2 linked regions of the Ovis aries genome follow. The protein of the gene in region 1 interacts with the protein of each later gene in a biochemical or structural test. Links are inferred from orthologs where the notes say so. Each region holds a gene or a part of one and is shown on either strand. Other genes may lie near its edges.

Evidence for each region. The genes of interacting proteins can lie anywhere in the genome.
Region 2: of the proteins of ARIH2 (region 1) and CKB, one has a biochemical effect on the other in vitro, tested with the Homo sapiens proteins (2 studies listed by BioGRID). The link is inferred for Ovis aries from reciprocal best matches to the Homo sapiens genes ARIH2 and CKB.

What each region holds. Positions count from the first base shown.
Region 1 is NC_056072.1:51,075,335-51,078,873, reverse strand, and holds part of ARIH2 (E3 ubiquitin-protein ligase ARIH2), read left to right. Parts: intron 1-1,262; 5' UTR 1,263-1,356; coding exon 1,357-1,605; intron 1,606-3,539.
Region 2 is NC_056071.1:65,893,180-65,897,332, reverse strand, and holds the start of CKB (creatine kinase B-type), read left to right. Parts: upstream 1-1,319; 5' UTR 1,320-1,387; intron 1,388-1,691; 5' UTR 1,692-1,703; coding exon 1,704-1,896; intron 1,897-2,078; coding exon 2,079-2,233; intron 2,234-2,309; coding exon 2,310-2,442; intron 2,443-2,746; coding exon 2,747-2,918; intron 2,919-3,534; coding exon 3,535-3,658; intron 3,659-3,809; coding exon 3,810-3,999; intron 4,000-4,080; coding exon 4,081-4,153. UniProt on the Homo sapiens protein: Reversibly catalyzes the transfer of phosphate between ATP and various phosphogens (e.g. creatine phosphate).

The DNA of each region.
Region 1 (3,539 bases):
GGTGGTTCTAGCATATAACACAATTTATTAAAAGTCAAACTGCAAATGTTATTGCCCTCTCATTAGTGTGACTTTTTTTTAAATTTAAGCATTTATAGGTAAAATATCAGAGGTAGATTCATTGATACTTTTATAATATCATTAAAATGTGACTCTGTAGTCCTTTAGACTGGTTACATATTCAGTAGACATTCATTTTAACCTTTTTTTCACTATAAATTTTTTGGCGAGATTATCTACTTCAAATAGGTTTTAAATTTACTTTAGTATTTAATCCAGATTTGGTTATATAAATTATTTCATTCCATTCAGTCCAACATGCTCTTGCATTTTAAGGCCCTCTTAGTTTTAGATTTAAATCACTGTTTGATACTGTTCCTTGGAAACGGTCACTTGAAATAGTTCTTGTGTAGAGAAGTTAATGAGTATTTGCCAAAATCGTCTCTAAGAGTTAAAATATGTGACTGTTTTACTTTTTCAACTAGTATTCTCTTTTCATTTATATGTAATTGAGTCACATTTTGATCTATGAGGATTTTTCAGTAGCTGCTGCCATTTGATCTTGTTTCTTTACCCTAGGTAGATTCTGTTTTTTCCTAGGCTCGATCCTGCCAAAGTAGTAGTATTTAGAGGATTAGTAGAACCCTTTAAAGTGGAAAAATCAGTTACCTTTGCAGACAAGAGGAGGATGTTGATGTTGAAGAGCTGTGTGGTTTTATTTTTTCTTTACTATGCACTTTTCCCCCCATATATCTGAGAGCGATGTCTGTAAAACACTGGTATTATTTCCCCAGAAACTGTAGTGGGATGGAACCGCGTCCCTATTTATGTTCTGTCTGTGTCACTACTCAGTAGGGCACGACTGGGTGAGAAAATTTAAACATCGGCTCTTCAGCCTTTAGGATACTTCCACTCTGGGCAATCAGCTGTGGGAATGTGCTTCTCTCTTAAGGACCCTGGCAGGAAGGACAACTCTGTGGGAATTTGACTCCTTGACATGGAGCAGACAGCCTTACTCTTTCATGCCAGACCCTTCATGTGAAGTTACCATTGTTAACTGCTTCTGCCCCTCCAGGAAAGGGTTTCCCTTTGAAAAGCCTGGGCAGGGAGATGATGGTGAGGTTTCCTGGATGAGAGGAGAGTTGGAATAGGCCATAGGGTGTAGGACCAATGCTGTGCCGTTTTGGTTCTTGAATGATTTCTGTTACAGCTTTTCACAGTGAAAGTAACTAACACATATTTTTTTTCTTTTCCTCCCTTAGAAGACAAAAACACTAATGAGTTTGAGACAGTGGTGAAATTTGGGGGGAGGGGAAAAAACTGCTTTCCTGATCTGCAACTTGACTGGATGTTAAGATGTCTGTGGACATGAATAGCCAGGGGTCTGACAGCAACGAAGAGGACTATGACCCTAATTGTGAGGAGGAGGAAGAGGATGAGGACCCTGGGGACATAGAGGACTATTACGTGGGAGTGGCCAGCGATGTGGAGCAGCAGGGGGCCGACTCCTTCGACCCTGAGGAGTACCAGTTCACGTGCTTGACCTACAAGGAGTCCGAGGGTGCCCTCAATGAGCACATGACCAGCTTAGCTTCTGTCCTAAAGGTAAGCAGTGTTGTCACCTCCCAAGTGTAATCCCTGAAATCAAATCTAAATATGAGCTGTTGCTAAAGTCTCCTCCGGCCTGGTTAAATGGCCTGTAGCTTGAAACCAAACTGAATTATGTGTTGCCTCCTCTGGACACATGTGATGTATTTGCTTTGTCTAAGGTGCATATCAGAGGACCTCAGCTTCTCACACTACTAGGAATTAGAAAGGCGGGGTGGAGTGGATTCAGGGGAAATAGACCAGAAATACACAGAAGCAGAGCTGTGTAGATTAACACTTGTTTCAGAAAGTCTTATGAAATTTTATGAGGTAACATAGGATAAGCATCAGAATCACCCAACACTGTGTGGGCAATTGATAAATCTCTTAAGAGAAGCTCCTAGATCTCCCGGTTTGCTGTGAATAATCGGTGCTTCTAGGCTAATGAGTTCATTGGTTTCATATACTGGTGACTAATCTCTGATGTTGAAAGAAATTTTGGCAGTAACTAAAGTAAGTTCTCATAGCTTGTATTTCATTGATTTGAGGGGGTGTGAAATGAAATTGTAAGTTAAGTAACAGAATTGATTATTTTAGCAAGCCGCTTATTTTTAACACTTAAGCTAGCATAGTTTTCAATGTCTTGCACCTTAGGCCAGGTATTATCCTCACAATGGACATTTTGTATTACATTATATCGAACTAGTACAGAGTAAAACACACAGAACAGCATTTACTGTGAATTATTATGGTCCTTTAGACAGTGTCCCAGCCTGTTTCTCCTCTCATGTGGACCATTATGTGAAAGTGGGAACATTTCTCCTACTTTGCTGTTTTCACTGACCTTCCTTTCAGGAGCTGTTGCATGGATTTTGTTGTTCGCTAAAACTGAAGATCAAGAGCACATTGGCATGATTTCAACCGAATAATTTTCATTTTAGTATTGAAATGGAAATGACGAAGGTGTTCCGTACTGTAAAAGTTGCTTTATCCTACTAGTCCAGGATTTTTTTTTTTTTCCCCAGGTGATCAGCAAATGTTAACTAATACCTTGGATTTGGATACTCAGGGCTTTATTAGTAGCTAGCTAGGAGCTGAAAGCTAAAGATTTTGTGCAACTCACTTCTAGAAATGGACAGGTTTCCTCTCTCACGCTCAGCAGAAAACTCAAAGAATGGAGACCCATTGGAACCTCTGGGTTTGGGATTTCTGCTCATAACAATAGCAGAGTTGCTGGGGCATTTCCCTGGTAGAAAAGAGATCTCAGATCTCTTCATTATTCCCACCTCTCCCTCTCTGGTCAACTAGTTTCTTTTTCTTTAACTGTATTTTACATGGTGTTGGTATTTAAAATTAGAGGAGGAATTGTCGGGTATGTGGTTCTGGACAGTATCAGTTGGCAAAGTTCATCAGGATATTTCCACCTATGCATAGGAATTCTCAGTTAAGACCCCGTGCCAACTTTCTTACTCTGCTGGAGACAGCTTGGGGGCACAGGCCTTTTTCTCCTTTGTTTTTTTTAATTGTAGTAAAATCCATAAAATATACCATTTTACTCCTTTCCTTTTTTTTAGGCTGTCTTATTGTGGGCCTGGGGAGGCCCTCTCCTTAATTGTTCAGACCCTCACGGCTCTTTCAGGCCTACCTTGTGCCCTCCCTGAGTGAGCCTCCTCGCAACCTTCTAGAACACAGTGGTTGGCTCCTGTTGTGGACCCAGGGCCCAAATGTTACAACCCAAGTTTATTAACTCATATAGTGCAATCTTCTGACTGCTTGATGTTGTTTTTACTTTTTCACATATTTTGGGATGTTCTCTTCACTGCTTGTCGTGTCACAGAGGCCAGAAACTACTTTTTTATCTTGTCTCCCCCATGATTCCTATCACAGTGTTCATCCATAGCAGGCATTGACTAATCTGGGGGCACTGTGGATTTGGTCAACTGTTGATGATG
Region 2 (4,153 bases), on another chromosome or scaffold:
GGAAGTCCCTAATTCACGCTTTTTAATAGCCGTGTAATATTCCACACTGGAGAGATGCCTTCCCTGCCCCCGGCCAGTCCCCAAGGGATGGGCATCCGGTTACATGCAGGTCTGTTTGTGCTTGTTCCTCATGCTAGAGAGGACTGGCCTATGTGCACAGAGAGATGAGACTGTAGGCTGGATTCCTACAAGTGGGATTGCCGGGTCACCGGGTCATGGAGTACAAAGATTTTACGTTTTAATAAATACTGCCAAATTACTTTCCAAAACTGATGTAGCACTTCACAGTGGCAGGCAGCCTGTGAATGCCTATCTCCCCACATTCCAGCCCATAGCCAACACTGGCTGGTGCCAGTCTGGGGTGCTGGGGACAGTGGAAGGCATAGTCATTACTTTGAATTGCATGATTCTGATTTTCAGTGAGCTTTTTGTTTTTTAAAACTCACATGTGCTTATGTGAGTATTTCCTCCAGCCTCTGCGGAGATTCTCTGAGGACGACCTTTGGGGTGGGGTGTGGAAATGGACTTGTCCCTGGAAGAGAGGGCCCAGGCCTGGGGCTGGGGGCTCTGAGACTGCGCACTTCCCAGCAGGGCCGCAGTCAGTATTCGCTCATCAACCAGGAGGGGCTGAGTCTCAGGCTCAGATGACCCCAAAGCCCGGGGACTTGCCCAAGGTCACGGCACCAAGGGTGCCGCCTGGCTGGGCCGCAGCCAGGCTGCGCCTCCGGCGTGCCTTCGCTCTGCACCAAGATCGCCGGGGAGATGCCTGCGGGCACCTTGAAGAAGGTCGGCGGCTCGCCGCCAACTCAGACTGGGCGGGAGAAGGTTGGGGTGGGGGGGGGGGGGGGGGGGTTGTTGGGCGTCGGGGGATGGCGGTACCTGCCGTTGAAGCCCGGGACGGCTCCCGCCTGGCCCCTCGCCGCGACCACCGCGAGGACTAGCGGGAGGGGCAGAGGCAGGGGCCGGGGCGCCGACCAGGCCGAGCGTTCTCAAGTGCCTGCCGGCTCTCCTGCCTCGGTTTCCCGCTCGGAGGCAGGCGTGGGTGTGGGGGAATCCGGAATGTCCGAGGGCCTGAGGTTCTGGCTTCGGGATCTTGGCGGGCGCGAGGTGGGGTTGGGTAGGCTGCGCGGGGTCCCGGCCAGGGGATAGTCGTGGTGGGCTGCTCGGGGTGGGGTGGGGGGGCTCCGGGGGCAGAGGGTGGCGGACAAAGCGGCGGCACCACCCCGCAGCGCGACCCAATGGAATGAATGGGCTATAAATAGCGGCCAATGGGCGGCCTGCGTTGCGCCCCTTAAGAGCCGCGGGAGCGCGGAGCCGCCGCTGTTCGCCTGCGCCGCGCCCTGAGCTGCAGACTAACCTAGAGCCCCCGCCCCTGCCCGACTGCTCAGTAAGTGAGCCCGGGGGCCCGGGGTGGGGGGCGCGCGGGCACCGAGGCGGGGGTTGTTGTGCACGGAGCTGGGGGCTGGGGCCAGGGTGTCGCGCGCTCCGGACCTCCCGGGGTCCGCCGCCTGGAGTGGGCGCGCCAGTTGGGCCGGGGGTCCTGGGCGCTGTGGTAGCCCCCTGCGTGTAAGCGCCGACCCCTCTGACCTTGACCGAGACCGGGCTGACCGGAGCCCGGGGCCCTGGGTGGTTAGCAGGTCACCAGGAGGCCCAGAGCCTCGGGACCCGCTGACTCCCGCGTCTCCCCGCAGCCCGCCGCCGCCATGCCCTTCTCCAATAGCCACAACACGCTGAAGCTGCGCTTCCCGGCCGAAGACGAGTTCCCCGACCTCAGCGGCCACAACAACCACATGGCCAAGGTGCTGACCCCCGAACTGTACGCCGAGCTGCGCGCTAAGAGCACCCCGAGCGGCTTCACGGTGGACGACGTCATCCAAACCGGCGTGGACAACCCAGGTACGCGCGCCTCAGTCCCGAGGTCAGGACAGGAGCCCGAGGCTGGGCCCCAGCGCCCCCGCTCCCTGGCTCCCCCCGGGCCAAGGTCCGGGCGCCCTCTTTGCGCGCATATCTGAAGGGTCCTCGGTGGCTTGCTCGGGCCTGGCAGTGACGTCACTGTCCCCATTCCACGCTCCCCCCAGGCCACCCCTATATCATGACCGTGGGCTGTGTGGCCGGCGACGAGGAATCGTACGACGTGTTCAAGGAGCTGTTTGACCCCATCATTGAGGACCGGCACGGAGGCTATAAGCCCACCGACGAGCACAAGACCGACCTCAACCCCGACAACCTGCAGGTGCGGGGTGGCCCGGGGCGAGGGGCCGGCTGGGTGGGGAGGGGTTGCCCAGCGCTCAGCCCTGCACGGCCCCCAGGGCGGCGACGACCTGGATCCCAACTACGTGCTGAGCTCGCGGGTGCGCACGGGCCGCAGCATCCGCGGCTTCTGCCTCCCCCCGCACTGCAGCCGCGGGGAGCGCCGCGCCATCGAGAAGCTCGCCGTCGAAGGTAAGGGTACGGCCCGCTGAGCGGCGCTCTTCGGCCCCGGGCCCTGCCGGCCTGTTTACCAGTCACCCGAGCCGCCGCGCTCTTATCTGTCCGTCGTCTCGGGTTTCCCAGAGGGACCGACGCCCAGCCCCGCGCCCACAGAGCCCTGGGGCCGGACGATGGTCGGCTTGGGCCGTGTCGCTCCGGAGCGGCCCGCCGCTCGGACCGGGAGGACTGACTGGGCTCCAGCCAGGCCAAGCGGGCATCCTGGGGGTGCGGGGTGGGGCAGGAGTCCACCCGTCCTCCTGAGCGCGCTCCTCCGCAGCCCTGTCGAGCCTGGACGGTGACCTGGCGGGGAGGTACTATGCGCTCAAAAGCATGACGGAGGCGGAGCAGCAGCAGCTTATCGACGACCACTTCCTTTTCGATAAGCCCGTGTCGCCCCTGCTGCTGGCCTCGGGCATGGCCCGCGACTGGCCCGACGCCCGCGGCATCTGGTGCGTATCCCCCGGCCTCCGCCCGCGCCGTACCTGAGGGAGGAGGGCGGCGCCGCGCTCCTCAGGTGGGTTTGGTGCCGGCCTCCTCGCAGGAGACCTTGACCGCGCAGGTGCGGAGCGCCCCGGGCGGGTGGGGCCGTCTTGCCGGCGTTCCTCCTCCCTCCCCCCGCCTCCGGGAGCCGCGGCTCCTTGTTTGCGCTCTCCTTTCCCACCCGCCGCCCGCGGGGAGTCGGTCAGGTGCGGGGTGACGCAGACGCTTCCTCGAGTGGGGGTGGGGAGCCGGGCTCGCAGGCACCGGGCGTCTGCGCCGAGATAAAGCGACTCCCCGTGGGCGGGGCGGGCTGCCTCTGCCCCTCACCCCCTAGGTGGGGACCACAGGGTGCCTGACCGGCTAGCTGGAAGCAGCTCAGGGCTTCGCGTGCCCTCTCTGAAGTGCCCTGTGTGCGCCCAGGGTGTTGATGGGGCTAGAGTCCTGATAGCAGCCCCGGGGCCCTAGGGACAGCTGGAGTGAGCACCTCAGCTACTTGGGAAGTGCCCCGGCTCGGGGGCCTCGCGAGGTTTTGTTCCTGGATGTGTCCTCGTCCGGGGAGGAGACTTGACTGTGCCCCTCCCCCAGGCATAACGATAACAAGACCTTCCTGGTGTGGATCAACGAAGAGGACCATCTGCGGGTCATCTCCATGCAGAAGGGTGGCAACATGAAGGAGGTGTTCACGCGCTTCTGCAACGGCCTCACCCAGGTCAGGGCCAGGCCCCAGGGTTCAGGCAGAGATGGAGGTGACCCATCAACCCCCCGGGGAGCCCAGGTCTTTGTTGCCTCAGGTCCTGTTCCAGCTGGTCCCCTGGGCGGGTGGCTCAGCCAGGCCTACCCTCTCACACGTCCATTTCCAGATTGAAACGCTCTTCAAGTCTAAGAACTACGAGTTCATGTGGAACCCGCACCTGGGCTACATCCTCACCTGCCCGTCCAACCTGGGCACGGGGCTGCGGGCCGGGGTGCACATCAAGCTGCCCCACCTGGGCAAGCACGAGAAGTTCTCTGAGGTGCTCAAGCGGCTGCGGCTTCAGAAGCGAGGCACAGGTGAGTAGGGGGTGCCAGGCGGCAGCACGCTCCCCTGGGGCTGCCCCCGACGCAGCCCCGCTGAACTGGCTGTCTCTCCAGGCGGTGTGGACACGGCCGCCGTGGGTGGGGTCTTTGACGTCTCCAATGCGGACCGCCTGGGCTTCTCGGAGGT